Drosophila melanogaster: one gene and its partners. The protein of the gene in region 3 interacts with the protein of the main gene of each other region in a pairwise test. Each region holds a gene or a part of one and is shown on either strand. Other genes may lie near its edges.

What was found.
Region 1: the proteins of CycG (region 3) and Npl4 interact in a two-hybrid assay, tested with the Drosophila melanogaster proteins (2 studies listed by BioGRID).
Region 2: the proteins of CycG (region 3) and wdb interact in a two-hybrid assay, tested with the Drosophila melanogaster proteins (5 studies listed by BioGRID).

Annotation. Positions count from the first base shown.
Region 1 is NT_033777.3:25,619,305-25,625,688, reverse strand, and holds the start of Npl4 (nuclear protein localization 4), read left to right. Parts: upstream 1-1,943; 5' UTR 1,944-2,109; coding exon 2,110-2,211; intron 2,212-2,283; coding exon 2,284-2,517; intron 2,518-2,579; coding exon 2,580-2,737; intron 2,738-2,798; coding exon 2,799-3,327; intron 3,328-3,387; coding exon 3,388-3,586; intron 3,587-3,648; coding exon 3,649-3,809; intron 3,810-3,850; exon of another isoform or gene 3,851-5,167; coding exon of another isoform or gene 5,168-6,384. Other genes in the region: Ssadh (succinic semialdehyde dehydrogenase), read left to right, coding at 1-757; CG5071 (uncharacterized protein), read right to left, coding at 5,168-6,384. UniProt on the Drosophila melanogaster protein: May be part of a complex that binds ubiquitinated proteins and that is necessary for the export of misfolded proteins from the ER to the cytoplasm, where they are degraded by the proteasome.
Region 2 is NT_033777.3:27,577,801-27,583,913, reverse strand, and holds the start of wdb (widerborst), read left to right. Parts: upstream 1-1,672; 5' UTR 1,673-2,325; intron 2,326-2,370; exon of another isoform or gene 2,371-2,770; intron 2,771-3,588; exon of another isoform or gene 3,589-3,757; intron 3,758-6,113. Other genes in the region: pins (partner of inscuteable), read right to left, coding at 1-826.
Region 3 is NT_033777.3:31,606,421-31,614,297, forward strand, and holds the start of CycG (cyclin G), read right to left. Parts: upstream 4,559-7,877; 5' UTR 4,461-4,558; intron 3,396-4,460; exon of another isoform or gene 2,900-3,395; intron 1-2,899. Other genes in the region: Med (medea), read left to right, coding at 5,261-5,324, 5,559-5,827, 5,914-6,268, 6,467-6,688, 6,840-7,454, 7,515-7,797, 7,859-7,877. UniProt on the Drosophila melanogaster protein: Cyclin with roles in multiple processes including transcription, meiotic recombination repair, cell cycle regulation, and promotion of normal growth and metabolism.

The DNA of each region.
Region 1 (6,384 bases), 6.0 Mb from region 3:
GGTGGGCAAACTGCTGTTCCGGAACTCTGCTGATGGCATCAAAAGGATTTGTCTCGAGCTCGGCGGCAATGCTCCGTTCATTGTCTTCGATTCGGCGGACATTGAAAAAGCAGTGGATGGCGCCATGGCCTCGAAGTTTAGGAATTGCGGACAGACCTGCGTCTCCGCCAATAGATTCTTTGTCCAGGACAGCGTCTACGATAAGTTTGTTGGGCAGCTGAAAAAACGCGTGGAAGCTTTGAAGATCGGAGATGGTCAGGGTTGCGATGTGCAAATCGGACCACTGATCAACGAGATGCAGTTCAACAAAGTCAGTGGCTTTGTGGAGGACGCCAGGTCGAAGAAGGCGAACATTATTCTGGGCGGACAGCCGTTGCCCGACAAGGGATCCCTTTTCTACGCACCCACAATTGTCACAGATGTGCCACCCTCGGCGCAACTCTACTCGGAGGAGGTCTTTGGTCCAGTGGTCTCCATCATACGGTTCCGAGACGAAGAAGAAGCGGTAAAGAAGGCAAACGACACCAGGAGAGGCCTGGCCGGTTACTTCTACAGCGAGAATCTGCAGCAGGTGTTCCGGGTGGCCAAGCGACTGGAGGTTGGCATGGTCGGCGTCAACGAAGGCATCATCTCCGCAGCAGAGGCTCCGTTTGGTGGCGTCAAGGAGTCCGGTGTCGGACGGGAGGGTTCCAAACACGGTATCGACGACTATGTGGACATCAAGTACATTTGCATGGGCAACCTCAAGTACGACTGAAGTCCGATGGAGGGATCACCCCCACTGCTTTCATACGCTGTCTTCCACTAGAATGCGATTGGTTTATTGTTGTCTAATTGTAGAATAACACGCCGCTATATTAATAAATGTGCACAAAGTCTACCTGAAGCTAATAGATAATTTCCCTTTTTTAAAATAGCCCGCCTCACCTTTCGATTAATTGGGATTGGTTAACAATCGCTTTAAATTGACAAGAAACCGATCATAGAGACATCGATATCCGGGAGTAATCGATTTTTCTCCACCTCTGGGCAGACTATCGCCATCCCCACAGCTGTGCGACAGAGACAGAGACAAAATTACAATGCCAAATGACAAAATTGTAAGTAAATTGTTGATAAAAAATTAAAAAGTGCATTTAGGGTGGAAACTAAGCGAATGTCTTATTGGTGAAGTGTGTGCAGTGAAATTGGTCAAGTGTTTCCCTATAGCTACCCACCAAAAAAGCCGGCAAACAATGTCGGTTTTCCAGTTCGCTGGCGTTTGTTGTTGTTGCCTAAATGTATGGAAAATATATTTAAAGTGCATTTCAGCCGGCAAAAGCGAAGCATATAATGCATAATGAACCCATTTGGAAGCACTCCCGGCAGTGCAAATCCACTGCAAGTCCCGAAATGCGGCCAAAGGTGCTGGCGGTGAAATTGAATGGTACCATGACTTGTAGATTTTCCACTGAAAGAGTGCAGTCTAGGCGGCAGTAGGACTGAGGGGAGTGTGCGGGGGTTTTGAGACCAAAAACCGATCCAAAAACCAAATAAATTATTAACAATTGTTGGCTGCAATCCGCCTGGGGGAAATGCATTTGAGGATATTTCTGTCTAATAAAGCAATTTCTGGTTGATAGGGTGCTACACTCAGAAAAATGTCTCTGCGTAAAATTAATTTTTGAAATATATGTTTTGTAAAATAAGAAAACTGCACATACCAGTAAATAGCACAACTTAAAATTTTAAATACAAATTTAATATAATTTTTTTGTTTTAAAACTGCATGCAGCTTGTCTTTCAAAATGCTGTTTTATTTTTTATTTAAAGCTCATACAATTACAGATCCGAATTTACATATACAGGCATTAGTTCTCTTTTTAACTATGCACTCATTTTGGCAACGAATTGCATTTGTTTTTAATTGCGATGCCAGATAAATTTCCGCAGTCAAGTTCGCGCCTTCATGACGTACAGTTCGAAACACTAAGCAAAAAGCCCTACAGGCTTTGGTAGCTAATAGCTACACTTGACAATCCCCCTTACCCAATCTACCACCCACCACCGCCCACACAAGAGCCCACCCAACCGCCCATCACCCAGTGACCCGTCCAGAAAGTCCAGAAAATGGCCTGTGCACCACTGCTGCTCGAGCAATTCATCTACAAGAAGCGCAATTTCGCCTACGCCTTTGTGCGCCATCGTCTGTTTGTGTTATGTAAACAATCGGTTGGATCAGAAATTGCCAAATTCACCTGTCCTAGTACTAATTAGAATCTGTTATTCATTTGTTAATTCCAGCTAATTCGCGTTCAGTCGGCGGAGGGCATCAAACGCATCGAGATCTCGCCCAAGTCAAATCTAAAGCATCTGTACGACAGCGTTCAGAATGCCCTGAAGGTGGATGGATTTGGTCTCTTCAAGGAGCGCAACTTCCTCACAGAGCTGCAGGCAAGTGGCTCCCAGCTGGTGGGGACTTCCTTGAGGCATGGCGACATGGTCTACTTAAAACAGATGGCTGGCACATCATCGCGCGTAAGTTGATCATATAGAGCAGAACGATCGGGGACTAACCTGCATTTTTCACCACTTCTCAGCGCACTAGCACCACTGTCCTGGACAGTCAGGCGTTCAAGACTAGCACCATTAGCAATCCAAACAGCGCTCGTCCATCCTTCAATGTGATCGAAGATGACGTGGACCAGGCTCTGAGCAAGGCTGATGGCACCATTAAGCGCGAACGTGATAGCAAGCTGTAGGCCTTGATTATACAATTAATTGTAAAATTAAACTGATCAACCTATAACTTTTTGTAGGTGCCACCACAATGCCAACGGCCGTTGCGTTCACTGCTCCGCACTGGAGCCCTATGATGAGTCCTATCTGAAGGAGCACAATATCAAGCACTTGTCCTTCCACTCGTACATACGAAAGCAGACATCCGGCATGGATCAGGGCAAGTACTTTGTCTTCGACGACATCAATTGCCGCATCAAGCCGGGATGTCGCGAGCATCCACCATGGCCCAAGGGCATCTGCTCCAAGTGCCAGCCGTCGGCCATTACGCTGAATCGTCAGACATATCGCCACGTGGACAACGTCATGTTCGAGAACACTAAGATCGTGGAGCGCTTCCTCAACTACTGGCGCACCACAGGACACCAGCGCATGGGATATCTGTATGGGACGTACGAGCAGCACACTGATGTTCCGTTGGGCATTCGGGCCAAGGTGGCTGCCATTTATGAGCCGCCACAAGAGTCTACCAGGGATTCGATCAATATTCAGCCGGATGAGTTCGCCGACGATGTGGATGCCGTAGCCAGTGCGCTGGGACTGAAGAAGGTTAGTTAGTTATAGACAGTAGCTATGTAGCATTAGTATTGACTTTTGTGACATTTATAGATTGGTTGGATTTTCACTGATCTCATCACGGACGATGCGAGTATCGGCACTGTCAAACAGATCCGTGGCATCGAGTCGCACTTTATTACGGCCCAGGAGTGCATCACAGCTGGCGAGCTGCAGAATCGACATCCAAATCCGTGTAAATATGCCTCCAATGGCGTCTTCGGCTCTAAGTTTGTGACCATTTGTGTAACAGGTAAGATTCACGATTTAATACTGCTTAATGAACTAGTACCAAAATAGTTTTTAACATTACAGGAGATAAAACCAAACAAGTGCACATGGAAGGCTATGCGGTTTCGGCTCAGTGCATGGCTCTGGTGCGCGATAATTGTCTGATACCCACTAAGGATGCGCCCGAGCTGGGCTACGTGCGTGAATCCACGGACAAGCAGTATGTTCCCGACGTTTTCTATAAGGTAAGTTAGAAAGTCTCCCCCCCATTCAAGCAAAATCAGTTATCGGGCAACCTTTATTGAATTACGTTCACACATTTACACAAACAACTTCCATATTTAGACATCAATACGAATGGGATTTGGTTTTTCAGTTTGATACATGCAAAGAAAATTTGGGTGTCAAGAGCAACGCCAATTCAAACATTTGACATCTAGAGGCTTACATTATCTTGGATTACGTTGATTTATTTATGGAACAACTTCATTATTTTCCTTATCCTTCTCGGTTTGTACTTCTCATCATTGCTCTGGGTTCTCCTTCAAACGTTCATTTTATTTTTCCTATACCTAGGACATTCATAAACAATGTTGTTATTTAGCGCATATTCAATTGTTAAAATAACTTTCTGAGCAACTGCCAAGCCAATCACAATTTTCCAGTTATTACCCTTATTTTTTTTTATTTATTTTTATTTTGCCAAACTGTTTTGTTCTATCTAATGCTTAATTGTGATACGCGTTTTTATTATTTTGGAAAATATAAGATTTCGATTTGATTTTTTTCTTTTCAATTGAAGTTAATCGTTGATTGATTGATTACTTAAAATAATTTAAAGTATAATAAGTCTACAAATTTCGTAAAATTGATTTCGATTTGTTCCTAAAAAGATTCTTTGCCTTCCTTTACATCGCTAAGGTCATATTATTACTTGATTCCCTTATTTTTATGGATGGCTATTCTTGGCGTTCATTATTTCATCCATCACAAACATAGCCTTAGTTATGATCACATCAAATGCATATTTAGACACCGAAAACTATCTCGTTTATTTACTTATTGCTAATAGGTTTATTTCATATTAATTATTAACTTGAATTGACATTAATTACATGTCAGCTATGTATTTGGATTTCACCTTACTCGTGGTTTCAAATTTTTAAGTTTTTATTGTAGCTAATTTACTATATCCAGGTATCGTCGTAGCGCTCCAACGCACATTTAGTGTCGTTTTCCTTAAGCTAAACTTATTTAAATACTCAAGGTCTGTTACAATTTCCACCTTGTCCATGAATCTGAAATGTTTATAGATCATTGATAGTCTTTTTTTTATTTAAAATAGCATCCAAAACGTTTCAATAAGTTGTAAATTGTTTATAAAAATTCTTTCTTTCTTTGTTAAAAAAATTGGCTTCTGTTGCTGAAAATGTCGAGTTTCAAGTGTCTTACATTGATCGTTTATTTTTACAAAATTTATACCAAGATTTGCATTCCAAGAATAAAATAGATATTGGGTGGTGTTGTACATTCAAAGTGTTTAGGAGCTTTCGGTTTGATACTGTTCGATAAGTAGGATTAGCTAATGGATCAGTCGGACTTATTATTGGTTTAAATGATATTCCCCACAATTCCGGATAATGCTCCTAAGGGCCGGGCGTCCTAGAGCATTGCCACTGGCCGCAATTCGGTCCACCAGCTCAATGCCCTGGACAATGAATCCGAAAATGGCGGTGAAGGATCGCATCTCGTTTAGCACCAGCCGAAATTGGCTGCCCACAAATCCACTTCTGTCCTGTCGCCGCTGTCCCCTGCGCATACCAACCGTTCCCCGATGTGCCGGCAATCCCGTTTCGTCTGGCAAAAAGTATCTGCTCTCAAAGGCCGAGTGCCCACCGCGTCCGTTCTGCGATTCAAAGTCGCCGGTGATGATGCTCTCGCCTCCCCAGGCCTGAAAGACAGTGCAGCCACGATAGCCATAGCCCCGCTCGTGCCGCACCAGCGCCCCAAAGTTGTCCGCCATCCGGGGAGCAGCATCAGATCGCACCTCGATTAGGACCCGTCCGGCCAGTTCTCCTGCTATTTCCATGTCCAGAAAGTAGATGGGGTAACAGTGAACGATGGGCTGACGCACAATGCTTACCGATGAACTCGTACCGCCATCCTGTCGATGATGATCATGGCTTTGTTGACCAATTAGCTGCGGCTCCACCGAGTTGACGAGAATCGCATCTGGCTGGTAAATTGAGTGGGTAAGCTGGTGTACTTGCTGCTGCTGCTGCTGCTGTTCCTGTTGCACTTGCTGCGGCTGCTGTTGCAACTGGCGCACCAATTCTCGAAGTCCATATTCCGTGTCTAGAGCAATATAATTGCTTTGGCTGTTTGTACTGCTGCTGCTGTTCGGCGACGAGGAGGATTCGTGTGAACCATCATACGGAGGTTGACTGAGCGTTCGAAACTGCTCGAGTTCGATCTGCTGCACATAATCCAGAAGTTCCACCTCCCGCAGGCTATTATTGAAATGCGGAGGCACCACAGCTCGCCGCGGTTCCGGCAGTAATTCTGGATCCGGTGTCAGATTCCTGTGGCGTGGAGGAATCATTTCGCGCTGCATCTCGCACCAGTAGGCGTACACACAGTAGTTGGTGAGGATGAGCGCCTGCGGTGGCCCCACATTGGCGGGAATAGCACCGGGCCGACGATGACTGCGTAGCCGTGCGATCCTGTTATTCAGAGTCTCAAAGTCCAGGACCTGCATCCCGTTCTCCTGAATTGCGGCTTGCATTCGACATTGAAAGTGCACCTGGTCCAACTGGCGCT
Region 2 (6,113 bases), 4.0 Mb from region 3:
CCTCGAATTGTCCCAGGAATATGTGCGAGTTGCCAAGATTACTGTTGGCCCTTCGCTCAGCCGCGCGATCACCAAACTCTCTGGCAATGCGCAGTCGCTCCTGATGATGCTCAATGGCCGCTTGGAAATCGCCTAGTAGGTAGTAGGTATTTCCCAGATTACCACAAGCTCGACCTTGAGCACCACGATCACCCAGATCCCGCATGAGCTTCAGATTCTCCTGGTAAAACTCCACGGCACGGGTGAGCGCCTCCTTGACATCGTCGCCGAACTTTCCAGGGTTTCTCTGACCCAAGTGCTTGCCCTTGGCGTGGTAGACATTTCCTAGGTTGTAAAGAGCGCGTCCCTCGGACAGACGATCTCCCAGCTGCCTGGCCAGCGTTAGGTGCCTCTCGCAACAGATGGCCGCCTCGTCGAAGCGACCCATTACCTTGAGGGTGTTGCCCAGATTGCCAGAGGACTTGGCCTCGCCCAGTCGGTCGTTCATGCTCTTGGCCAGCGTAAGATCGTGTTTGTGGTACTGCATCGCCTTGTTGTAGTCGCCTAGGTAGAAGTAGGCGTTGCCCAGCTGGGAGTAGATGGCGGACAGAGTGCGAAGATCCTCGGTTCCGGCCTGAATGGCCGCCTGGAAGAAGGCCACGCCCGCCCGGCAGTCACCCGCCTTGCAGAGGCGTTCACCCTCGAGGGCCAGTTCCAGGCACATACTGGATCCTCCGTCGGATCCGGAACCCTGCTGGGAGTTGCCGTCGTGGGAAGTAGTTCCTCCTCCGCCCGATCCCAGTCCCAAACTGGACACATTCTCCGCGGACGCAGAGAGCGAGGACATTCTGCTGCGAAGTCTCGCCTTTTTGTCGCGATGCTCCTTTTTGAGGGGCAGGTGCTCTGAAAACTGGGAGTTGTCCACTTTGCGGCGATGTTTTGGGGTCGATCTTTGGGGTTTTTAGCTAGCCTCTGGCTGGTTTTGAACTGCTGGTGGGTAAACTTAACTGCGACAGGTGAAATTTCAGCAATTAAGCGATCTTTTGTACCGTTTTTTTGACTAATTAGTGCGTTTCTGATTCACGACCAGTGTGACCGATTGGGGTCGATGAGAATACCAAGCAGATTAGAAAGAAATACCAACTTTATATGGTATGTCGTTGGATTTAAAAATAATATCTGTTATATTTTGTTTTAAGTCAATTGAACAATTTTAAATTACTTGTTATTTTTCCCCTACAACAAAGATACTATGAAAATTATATAAATAATATGCCTTTACCTCATGACCATAGCTTACATATCAGCAATATTTAGTAGCCCAATTGGTAATATTATATATATAATTACATTGTTTGATGGTTAATGTATGCATGCCGTTTGATTTAAAACTAATTTTTTTTTAACTTTAAGAAAAAGCAGTTTAAATTCATTTATTAGAATTCGAATTAGAAATCTTATCAGATGGTTGCCCTAATTTGAGAAATGTTAGCCACTGCAAGACCATAGCTTATAAAGGATCAATACTTATGAGCCAAGCTAAAACACAATTTTATCATAGTCTTTTCTTATTTTTGTAACGTATTAGTAAAATCTAAAATATATTGGCATAGTTAACATTTATCATTTTCGGTCAACAAGCCATAGCCCTCATCCCTATCAACCGTAGTTGGTAGCCAGCACTTTTGCAGACGCGCTTTGCAACACTAATCGCTTCAAAGATGGCGTCACTTCTACGGTGTCTGTGTGAACGATTCTAGTTGCCGCTGGAGAAAATTCGTAATTCTCGCATAAAGCGCACCTGCCGGTTACCAAAATCGATTGAAAAGCGAACGTCCCATATTGCGGCGCGATAAGCGGGTGAAATTGTGGCAGTGCGTGCGCGATAGACTGTTAGAAAAGCAGTGCAAATTGGAAGTCCGGATGCTCGAAGGTGTGTGTGTGCGTCGCTTTTTTTGTGCGGTTTTCAGCTGCAGTCGGCCAACAGTGCAACGCAAACATTGTGTTCTAAATTACATAAAGCAGGGAATTTCTGCACGAAGGCAACCGAAAAAAGGACTAAAAGGAAAAAATTAGCCACACAAAAGGAGAGCGAGTGCGACAGGGAAGGAGGGATACAGAGCGAGCGAGAGGTCGATAACGATAGCCTTGTTTGGTTATCGCCCTCGATAGGAAATAAAAACGGGAGAAAAACTTGAAAGCAGCGGCGTCTTTCAGTTCGCCGGTGTGCCCGTGCGTTGGATGGTATTTTGTGGTATTTTCATTCATTTTTGGGACTGTAGTGTGACCGTGTGTGGGAGAGAGCCGCCTAAATAGAGAGCGCGACGCGCAACAACAGTTTCTGTGGTGAGTTGAAACGAAACTCACCACGCTCTCACCCAGAAATCTGGCACAGTGGTCTCGAAACAAAAGCCAAATGAGTAATCGCACCTGGGGAATCTAGCTAAATATCAGCACCAAACAATTGAAAGTCAGCTAGATGAAAACAATAACAATAGTAATACTATTCGAAGTACTAATACTAATCAATTGGAGGCAGGCTTTTCGTTTGTGTGTGCCTGCTCCCTCTCGCGTATAGTATATACCCATGTGCCAGAGAGAGCAAGCCGAAAACGAAAAGAGAGCGCGAGAGTCGGACGAAGGAAAAAAATATCGCCACAGTTGCCGTATGCCGCCTTCGTCGTCGGTTGCAAAAGATATAGAAATCTTTTATATACACACATACGCAGTCGGTTTTTAATAAATTCTGCAGCGAAAATTCCAAGCCCGAATAAAGAAGGAGAAATAAAAGGCAACTAAACAAAGCCGAGTGCAAAATTAAAGCCAAATTTCCAAGGCGAATGCAAATTTTTCAAGTGCGCAGTAAGCGGCTAAATCCCCAGACGCAATTCGGTGTTTCAAAAGTTTTAATAAATAAATAAATATGTAATTACGCTCGCAATCCAGCCAGCCCGCACACACACACGCACACACAAATACACGCACGCAATCGGTTAGAATTCGTATGAGCATATATATTTTTTACTTATATTATTTTTAGAATATCGATTTTGTGCCGCGTGCGTGTGTGTGTCTCTCTCGCACCGAGTGTGTGTGCCTGTGTGTGTGTTTGAAACATACATATTTATGATAAGTGTGTGTGTCAAGCAGTAAAATGTGTTAAGAATTATGTTCATATAGACACAAGTTACCTAATCTTACTCCTCTTACCTAAATGAGGAAAAAGGCAAAATAGATGAAAGGAATCAACAAACCGAAGTGAAGCAAAAGATAGAGCAAAGGCAACAGCGAAAAGAGCCCCATCAAAACAGCTGCGCTCTCTCACCTTTTACTCATCTTCCCATCCTCTCTCTCTACCCATTCACATTCTTACGCTTCTCCCATTCCCCAAAGTGCGCCCCACTCACTCACACACGTTCGCCATTAAAGATCTTTGTGTATTTTGCTTTGACACCGCATTTACATGTGTTGACCCCACTTGGACAACACAGCCCCCCCCCCCCCTCCCATTCGAACAACCCCCTCCACCCGCGCGATGCGTTGTGCAAAATTCTCTCGTGAACTACAGTTCTAATTCAATTATGCCAACTGCTATACACACATCCACAGTGAAAACCAGCAAGCAGCGCTAAACCGCCAGCCAAAAGCAAAGATAAAACGAGAAAAAGCATCTCCGTGACGTAGGCAAACGCGAGAGCCGAAACCGAAAACCAAAACTGAAACTGAAAAAACTGAGATATCGAGCAGACGAGAATTACAAACTCTGAAATCGAGAAAGGTATGCCAAGACCAACGGAAGTTGGCCCACAGCGAATTTGATTCAAATCGATGCCATTTTGGGCTAAAAGCTCGCTCCATTTCCGTTCCATGCCTAACCCTTGGATAACTAATGTGCCATAAATGAAACTACTAGAAATTCAAATTCAAAATGCTCAGAAAAACAGGGGTTTGAAGGAAGGAAGTCCATCAATACAATAGAATATCATTACCCCTTTCTTATTTAATTAATAGTTATTATTATCCACGAAACACGTAAACTTAAATATCAATTTATATATACTATAGCACATCAAATTGTTAAATGTGTTAAATCAAACATAATGCCAATTGCCAACGTCACCTCAATATGAAATGTCTTAACGAATTAAATAAATGTGGCCAAGGGGTTAAGCCATAACCACCGATTGAAAGTCAGGCAAATAACTGGTTCTAATTGATTGAGTGATTGCTTGAGGGGGTGGGTCAGTGGGGGGGGGGGGGGCAGAACCTGCTCGGCAAATTAACAAGTTCCAATTGATATATACGTGTGGGGACACACGAAATTCGTCGAGCCTACTCGAAATTATCATAAATGTGTCAAAATGGTAAATCAATTCGAAGGGGCAGAACAACTTTAGCTCTATATAGATATATGTAGCTGTAGCTGTCATCGCGGTGACAAGGCCCTCGATTTGCCCTGAAATTAAGCCATTATATATCGCCGCACTGATCACTTTAATTATAATCCATAATCCATGTAATCCACAAGGCAACCCAAGCACGCCCAGCGTAAAGTTCCCAAACCGAACGTGACTAGGGTGCAATTAAGTGGCGATGAAAAAAAGATCACTTAAATTTTCAGCGATTTGATTTCCAGTTTCTAGCTGACAATCGCTTTTTATTGTTCATCCAAGCGGGTTTGTGTCAACTGGCCCACTGTCTATTTGCCCGTTAACTTGGCTTTGACGTCACGGATTTCTAGCGCTTGCAGGATGCAGTCTAGAAGCAACTCCTCTTCAAATAACAGTGCGCAAAAGTAATTAAAAGTTGAGAGGGGAAAACCCTATAAATCAATACCAGGTTGCAAACTGACTTGCTGTAGATATAACAACATTTTTTTTTAGCATCCCTATTGTTATTTATGTTGTTGTGGCCAGGGCGTTTCGCTGCCAATTTCGTTGTTTGAATTCAAATTGGCAACAACCGACGAACTATAAACTATAAGATTTAATGACCCGCTTAATCTATAAGAGCAAAGTTTCTTCCCAATTCTGAAATTTTTCCACCGATTTGTCTATATTTGGCCGGCAATGAACCATTTTCCCGATGACCGACTTCTCGCTAAGACATTTTCTAGTGCATTTTCCTGGAGAGTTTTAGCTTCTGAGCAATTTTAACGAGTTAACCGAGGTAGTCAACCCAAATAAGTGTCATGCCAGCCAGTGTGTGCAACAATTTGTGAGCTCACTTATTGTGTTTTCACTGTAAAGGGGAAGAGGGGGAACGTAATGCTGCCATAAAATGCCTCCGCATACGAATGTGCGCATATGAAGCGCTCCTCCTTGTGGGCTCCCAGTGTCGGGTGAAAGACGAGAGCTCTATTATAAAATTACCAAGTCTCTGGGACATTACTATGTGCCATGTACGTACGACCTGCTTTGCGACTGTTCACCTTTTTGTCGGCGCTAAACGCTGAAAGCCAAACGCACATCTCGCTGGCGGCTTTAACTTTACAGCCTGGCCAACAAAGTTAAAGAGCGTGCTCAGAGGCAATTTGCCTTTTGGCCTGGCCATAAGTTGACTCTTTCTACGCGAATTTCCCTTATGCCCGCTGAGGCTTGGCCACCTCCTGATGGCCACTCCACTCGCTTCTGCACATCGCTGGCTGTCTGTTTTGACATAACTGACCTCACTGCGCTGTTTTCCCTCACATTTTCCTCACCTCGTTATGTACGGATTGCTGAGCCATTTTCCCAAATTTCACACGGAGGAAAAAAGTACCTGAGATACAACAAGATTCTGATTGCGCAACTGGTTTCTGCTATCTCTGAAATGCGATAAATGTTTTCCATCTTTGGTTTTTGTTTTCCAAAGAACCATTTTCATCACTTTGCATCAAAATGTGAAGATTTTACTAGCCAATGTGGATATTACTTTGTATTCCCCAGAGAAACTTCACTACCACCATCATCTTGTTTACCTCATTTCGACTGCCCAAAATAAATCCGAAAGCCATATTTCTTTCAACTCCATTTGAATGCGAACAGATTCACTTTAGCCGGTGGGCTGTAAACAAATCTTTTGTTCCGTATCGAATTGCTTTCCATGCATCGAGTAAAAATATGTATCTTTGGAACGACGCTGGCTTCTCTGCG
Region 3 (7,877 bases):
GAAGAAGGAAATTGCCCAGCCAGTTGACTCAGGGGTGGCTCTACTCCACCGAGCAACCCCAAAAGCGTTCAAATCCACCCTGCTGACAGACAGGCCAGAGCTCGGAATTTGAATTTCCCAGATGACCCAGCACAAGTGGCGGGGAAATTAAATGAATAGATCTTGCAGCAGCTGCATTGGCATGTGCTGCAAAAGATACGAAAGATACACTAACGAACAAAGAAAAGAAAAGAAAAGACCTCGAAAGAAAAAAAGAAAAAGATCATTGCACTGGGGTTGGCTGGATTTGGAAATAGTGCCACCACCACATCTATCAGGCGATCGACCTTTGCCAAGCCTGTTTTCCAGTGCCCTCTCGTAGCTTCCTTGGTTTTGGAATCAATGTTTTCGTCGGCTATCTGCCAATGGACTAGCGATTTGCACCCGCGCACTGACCATTATCAACGGAAATGCAGTACAAGAATTTCTCTGACGTGAAGCGAACGTGCCCAAAGTCGGAGTCACTGCAGCGTCGGCTGAGCGTCTGAGGAGCGTGCCCAAAAGGAATGATAAGCGAGTGCTAATCGCGGTCAACGCAGTCGTAGTTCAAAGTCCCAAAATAACAAAGGGACGGGGACGCTAGTTGGTTTTTTGAATATATATGATCGAACACAAAGGCAGTGGTCTAATGATTCATTCTCCTGAAGAGCTGGGTTACCATGCTATCAGAAATTGCATTTGTTTGGGTACTTTTAGAAATATTCGTGTATCCAAGTGCAAGAGGATCCCTCGACCAAGTAAATAGCAAAGCTCATGTTCCGCAGGAAATTTTCCAGGCGTAATTGGAGAAAATTTCCTCCCTATAGAGGCTTCTATGTTTATCGGCGTAATTGCTGGCCTCAAGTTATCGCATGGGCTTAATTACGACTGTAGGCTGTATTCCCTGTACACGCGTTCTATATCCAAGGTTCCTTTGGCTGACATTTAGATAACTGGCTGGTGGTACACTGCAATCCCATTGATGACTTATAGACCGGGATTCGCTTATCGGAGAAGAGGCGGACGTTTCGTAACATTCCATGACGTAAGTACATGGGTTCGATAGATAAAGCGGCTCGATCTTATCGCATTTGTCACAAAACCCATAGAAATGCCTCCAGAGGAGAGCAGCTGCAGTGCAAATAGAGGGAAAGGGCAGCTGCAGTCGGGACCATGGGATTTATTTCGTCACCTTTCGTGAAATTCAATTAGAAAGGGGTGGGACTCGAAAAGTCGCCTGGCACGAGCTGGAAATGGGGGGAAAGTCGAAGGGAAGGGGGTTGAAATCGGTTCAGTTGAGTGCTTTTTCTGGGTTTTCTGGCTTTGAATCTCCGGGAATGGGAATCGTGGTATATATGTACATATGGCTTTTTGGGATGGTCAGCTGTCTCTCAAGTGTTGGCATTGAATTTCACTTTGGGCCGTCTGTCGTTTTGCAGACACACGAATTTCATGGCATACTGAAATCGAAGAAAACAGGTAGAAAGCAGACGATATCTGCTAAAAAGGCGCCACCCTAACCACAAGTGGAAGCCAAATAGATGTCAGCTGGATTTCGGGTTATTTAGCCTTAAACTAATCATTTTGGTTCAATGGCTTTAGGGGAATATATAAACGGGAATTGTAAGTTAATCTCTTTATTCCAAAAGCGACTTACTTAGTAGACGTGACCCAAATAGTTGGACATTGCCCACCTAAGGGTTAATGATGAATTCTCCCCTTTTCACACCCGTTCCCATCTCTATTCATTCCACAAAGAAGGTAGGCAGAGAATAGAAGAGACCTTTTTACATGTAAACAAGTGTGGAGAGGAATAAATAAAACAACGGTACAGCAACACCCACACACCCACACCAACCCAACTGTTTCATTAGTATGCGTGCGTGGGGTCGTTTTATGCGTTGTATTTATATTATTTTGGAGGCTATGGAAAATATGAAAATCAACAAATTAAGCAATTCTGCGCGACTTTGCGACTGCGCAACAAATTGAAATCAACAAATATGACCCAGAAAACAAAGTAAATGCGCTGAAGGTGAAATCAGGAGAAACGGGGTACAAAACGGAATGTAATAGCAGTTGTTACTTGTGTTTTCCAGAAACAAGTTGCTTCCTAAAATGAGCAAAAGTGTTTTTGAAACGAAAACAAGTAGTTTTATCCGTCGCACATATTTTATTTTTGGCTGACGCAATTCCAAGCCAGAGCACGCACACTCCCAAACCAATCAAGTTGCTGTGCTGGTGTGAGTGTGTGTATGAGGTAAAAATCCGAATGGGAACAACATACACACATACAAAGTCTTTGTTTGCAGCTCGCGTGTGTGTACGATGGCAAGGGAACTTTGGAAGCGGAACACACAAATTGTGGGGAGAACAACAAAGGAAAAGGGGAATATGAAGTAAAACAATTGACGCAAATTGGAAATAAAACAGATATGCAAATGGGGGAAGGCAATAGGAATGGGTTTTCTAGGCGAATAAGGCGGTGCCAAGGAAACAAAGGCGTACATTAGTCTCATTACATATGTATGTTGTACAGCTTGCATAAAAAGCACAGCCCCTCAAACACACATACCACTGCAAGCAGCATAGTTCCTCGCCCACCCCTCGTTCGACCCTCTCGCTCACTCTGTAAGCAACGACCTACGAATAGCGGACCCCAAATCCACTCTCTCGCTTACACACACAAACACCAGACAAACAGCTGTGAAACAAATGGAAGCGAAACAAACACGTAAATGAACGAATTTTGTATGTATGCCTAATATAATTTCTTTTTTCCTACAAACAAAATCATCTGATAGATGAAGAAAAAAACCTTGATTCTCTTTTTGCATTTTATCGACTTTTCCACTCTTAAATAAATTTAGCATTTTCTTACGTTTTTACAGCCATTTTGTTGTTTTGTGTTGCGCAGGAATGTTGAGATGAACTTTGTTTAGTTGTGAATTTTTGCTTCTATTGCACTCGAAAATAAGTGAATAAATTGGCTGGCAGCTTTACGCTTATTCAATTGCGTCAGATAGTTAGCTATAAAACCTTGTCGTTGGCCATTTAAGCTAGTTGTTAACTAATTTGTACTGCGTTTGTATCACAATTGGAACTCTGTTTATTAGGCTGGCATTTTATCCTCAATTTTTCCCGTCTGCGGATCGATTTTTCCCACACACACTGGGCTGAAGGTGCTTGGGACTTTTCTCCATCAGCTGTGCATTTTCCTCCTGCTGATTTTTTTTAGTTCTGCTTTAGCAAAGCTTTGTACGTTTGCACTTGGTCCTTTTCAATTTCTATTTTCTATTCCTAAGCAAACAAACACATTCAAACACTCGCGCTCGCAAAAACGGTACTTCTCCGCTTTGTTGTTTTTTTACGAATGAAGAATATTGTGAGCGACCAGTGTTACCAGTAGGCCTACAAGTTCCACAGATTTGGTGCGAACTGAAATTTGTACTATAAAATACCCTAAGCCAGCGGAAGCGATAGTCCCTCACTATCGATGTGTATGTTATTCGATTCTCTCTGTTAACTAACATTTCGCTGTAATGTTATCGAACCCTAATAAGCCCGCAATAATTCTTTTTTGATGTCGAACAATTTTGAACACCGAACTCAAATAAGCCCGCAATAATTCTTTTTGGTGTCGAACAATTTTCAACACCGTAAGCCTGATAGGGATTAAATAATAACTTTATGCTTCTGAATGCGGGATGTAGACAATTTTATGACAAGTGATTTAATTAGTTAGGGAATTAAAAAATATGAGGGCAACAAATCCTCGAAGTTAAATTGAGTTCCCAAATTACTATTACAAATGGAAGCTTCTGTTTTGGCAGGGAATCGCAAACTTCCCACACATAATTTCACAATCAATGTCATTGCCAAAATATAAACATATTTACATATGTACGCCGCAAATCGAAATTCCGTTCAGATAAGCGTTGAAATTACGCATTTTGATAAGATATTTTGAAGATGGAAACTACGCAGCAAACTGTTTTACAAAAGCCGGAGAAATGCATTTCCGGCGAAAAGGAAATTCGTTACTGTTGCCAAGTGAACATTTTCAAGAGAAGAGGGGAAGGGGGTGGTCTATTTCAGGCCCCACTACACACACATGCATATTTCTAGAAACAACCTGTCACACAAACGACTCATCAACGGCAATTTTTTATGAATGAATTTTAGCAATTAAAGCAATGGAAAGAAACTTTTCAATGGGAATGCGAAAACATCAATTAACTTGTTGCACAAGATGTTCAGCCTTCGATTTTCCCCAATCTCAACGATAAGAAACTTTCCTCAATTTCGTCACACACACACACACATGCGAATGGGAAAAAACGCGTGGCGATTGATTTTCGGCCTTTCAAAAAGTTCGTTTTACGCACTGAACAGCCCGCGAAATGAGTGTAAGTCGGTGTAACAAATCTCATGGCACTTACCCGGATGCCTCTGCGTTTTGATCAGTATCTGCTTTTCTTGCTTCTTATTTCCAAAAAATATAAACTTATTCTCAAATCAAATCTTCGAGAACTGACCAAACTAGGTGTTTGTAAAAATCCAAGGTAGGTATTTCGCGCTTTGCCCATCTGGCAACGCCCGCCCATGTTGTATCGCGAAACGGTCACTCTGCACAGCCGCAACAAAATAAAAAAGGAAAAAAAGGCAAATTGGCTGGAAAACTGGATTTCGTCGGGCGGAAAATTGTACTTTCGAGTTTCCCAAGCAGCCAATTAAGTGCAAACTATGAAATTCCACGAAAAACAGTAAAAGCCAGTCTCTACCAAGGATTTGAGCAGGAAACTTCTCGCTGGGCGTGTGTGTGTGCAGTGCGTGTGCCAGTGTGCGTAAAGAAGGAGGTGGAGAAGACGAAGGAGAGGAGAGTTTTCGCAGGGAAATTACGCCAACTTTGTGGGAGTTCAAGTCGAGTTAGTTCAGCGCGCGCGTGTGTGTGTGTATGCGTGTGTGCAACACCCCCCAAGCCCACTCACACAAAGCCATCCAGCCGCCGTTTGTTTTGTGCTCACATTCGCGTGCCGCCTTTGTTTGGCTTTTCTTTGGCCAGTGATTCTACGCCTTGTTTTTGCCCGCCGCCGGCTTCGATTACGCCTGCTCCAGCCACCGTACGATCCCCACTCCGCTCTCCGCCGCTCACGATCCCCATTCCGGATCCGGATCCAGCAACAACGCCGCCGTGGATGCCCATGCTCGCACTCTGGGCTCGCTCGCCCAGGACTTTGGCATGGGCGGCGGCTCGGGGGCGTGTCCGCCCGCCCACATGTACGGCGCCGTAGCCCCGCAGGACAGTAAGTGAAGTTCTCTAGAGGAGCAGCAGTCATAGTGAACTCCTTTTCGAGTTGTTATTCTAAAATCGATTTGTGGCCAAGTATTGTGGACAATCCTAAATCTTACCGTAGCATTATTATTTACTGTTGATAAACTTGAAACTCTTTGAAATTTAAAATGAAATTGGATTGAGCTGTACAGTATCCGTTGATCTACTAAAAAAACTCAGAGCTAATTACCCCCACCATCTGCAGTAATTGTCCGGGACATGGTGCAAATGCCGCCGCCGCCCTCGAACGCCCCCACATCGGCGGACGCCTGTCTGAGCATCGTCCACTCGCTGATGTGCCATCGGCAGGGCGGCGAAAGCGAGGGATTTGCCAAGCGAGCCATCGAGTCGCTGGTCAAAAAGCTCAAGGAGAAGCGCGACGAACTGGACTCCTTGATCACGGCCATCACCACGAACGGAGCCCATCCCAGCAAGTGCGTGACCATACAGCGCACCCTCGATGGTCGCTTGCAGGTAGGTTGAGTCTCTCAGACTTTCTGCATCGAATTTGATAATGTGTATAAGCAATGAACTTACCACTTTACCATTCTCTATCGAAGGTTGCTGGACGCAAGGGTTTTCCGCACGTCATATACGCCCGGATTTGGCGCTGGCCTGACCTGCACAAGAACGAGCTGAAGCACGTCAAGTACTGCGCCTTCGCCTTCGATCTCAAGTGCGACTCGGTGTGCGTGAATCCCTACCACTACGAGCGCGTCGTCTCTCCGGGCATCGATCTGTCCGGCCTGAGTCTGCAGTCGGGCCCCAGTCGCCTGGTGAAGGACGAATACTCAGCGGGTCCGCTGGTGGGCAGCATGGACATCGATGGCAACGACATCGGCACCATACAGCACCATCCCACGCAAATGGTGGGGCCCGGCGGCTACGGATATCCACAGGGTCCCTCTGAATATGGTAAGACTACAGTATTGACATTAATTCGATATAGTTTGAGTTTTCGATACTGGATTTCTTGATAATTTTTCTATATTATTTATAATTTTAAACTGAATTGTTCATTTTACTTAATTGTTTACATTCGTTTATTTCTTTGGTTTTAATAATTTATTTATATTTGTTTCCTTTTGGCGATTTTATGTTGACTTTGCGTAGTTGGCGATGCCAATCCCATGAGTGCAATGTTTCCCACCGGGCGCACAATACCAAAAATCGAGCCCCAGGATGGAGTTGCTGGGTCGCGTGGCTCTTGGATGGTACCGCCTCCCCCCCGGCTGGGTCAGCCCCCGCAGCAACAACAGCAGCAGCCGCAGCAGCAAACCCCGCAACCTACACAGCAGCAGCAGGCACAATCGCAGGCAGCTGCTCACTCACTCCGTAAGGATATGGCCTTGATTATAGTTGAAGCTTCGAAAATCGAATTTTAATTACAATTTTTCTCATATGTTGGATTTTAAACTATTATAATATTTGTCTTATTAACAATTAGTTGAATACACATTAATCTTTTCCCAAAATCAACTTTCAGCTGTGCCTCACGGTATGCCGGGCATGCCTGGTCCAATGAATCCCGGTCCCGTGATGGCACCCCCACCCCCGCCGCAGCAGGCTCAGAATCCCCAGGGCAATGGGGTGCACCATACCCAGGCCAATTCGCCCACAGATCCCGCCTCCGCACTGGCCATGCAACAACAGCAGCAGCAGCAGCAGCAGCAACAACAACAGCAGCAGCAGCAACAGCAGCAATCAGGCGGTGTGCCCAATGGATCAGTTAATGCCGGCGGTGGAGCAGCAGCTGGAGGGCAGTACTATGGACAGCCACCTCCTGTTAGTCAGATGCAAGGTGCCGGTGGGGGTGGCACCTCGGTGGCCCCGTCCGTCCACGCCCAGCAAAACGGCTACGTGTCGCAGCCAGGATCCGCGGGCAGTGCTCCCGTTGGAGGTGGTGGCGTCTTTGGCACAGCCCAACCCACACCACAGCAGCCGCAGCAGCCACCGACCGGTGTGCAGGCCAATACTGGGTCTGCTGGGGCTCAGGCTGGCGCCGGAGGCGGTGCGGCTGGCACCTGGACAGGGCCCAACACCCTCACCTACACGCAGTCTATGCAACCACCAGATCCGCGCTCTCTACCCGGGGGCTTCTGTAAGTCTAGGCTATGTAGCCCACTGTGCGACTTTGTAATCCCTGTCCTTCATTTTCCAGGGAATTCGTCGCTTTCGGGTGACCTCGGCTCCCCGCAACAGACGCCTCCGCAGCAGCAACAACAACAGCAGCAACCACGCCTCCTGTCTCGCCAACCGCCGCCGGAATACTGGTGCTCCATCGCATACTTCGAGTTGGACACGCAAGTGGGCGAGACCTTCAAGGTGCCGTCAGCGAAACCGAACGTAATCATCGACGGCTATGTGGATCCCTCTGGAGGCAATCGATTCTGTCTGGGCGCCTTGAGCAATGTTCATCGCACTGAACAATCGGAACGGGCCAGGTGAGTACATCCCCCTGGGAGTAACTTGCAGAGCAGGGATTAATTACCAAGTTCCATGCAGGCTCCACATCGGCAAGGGC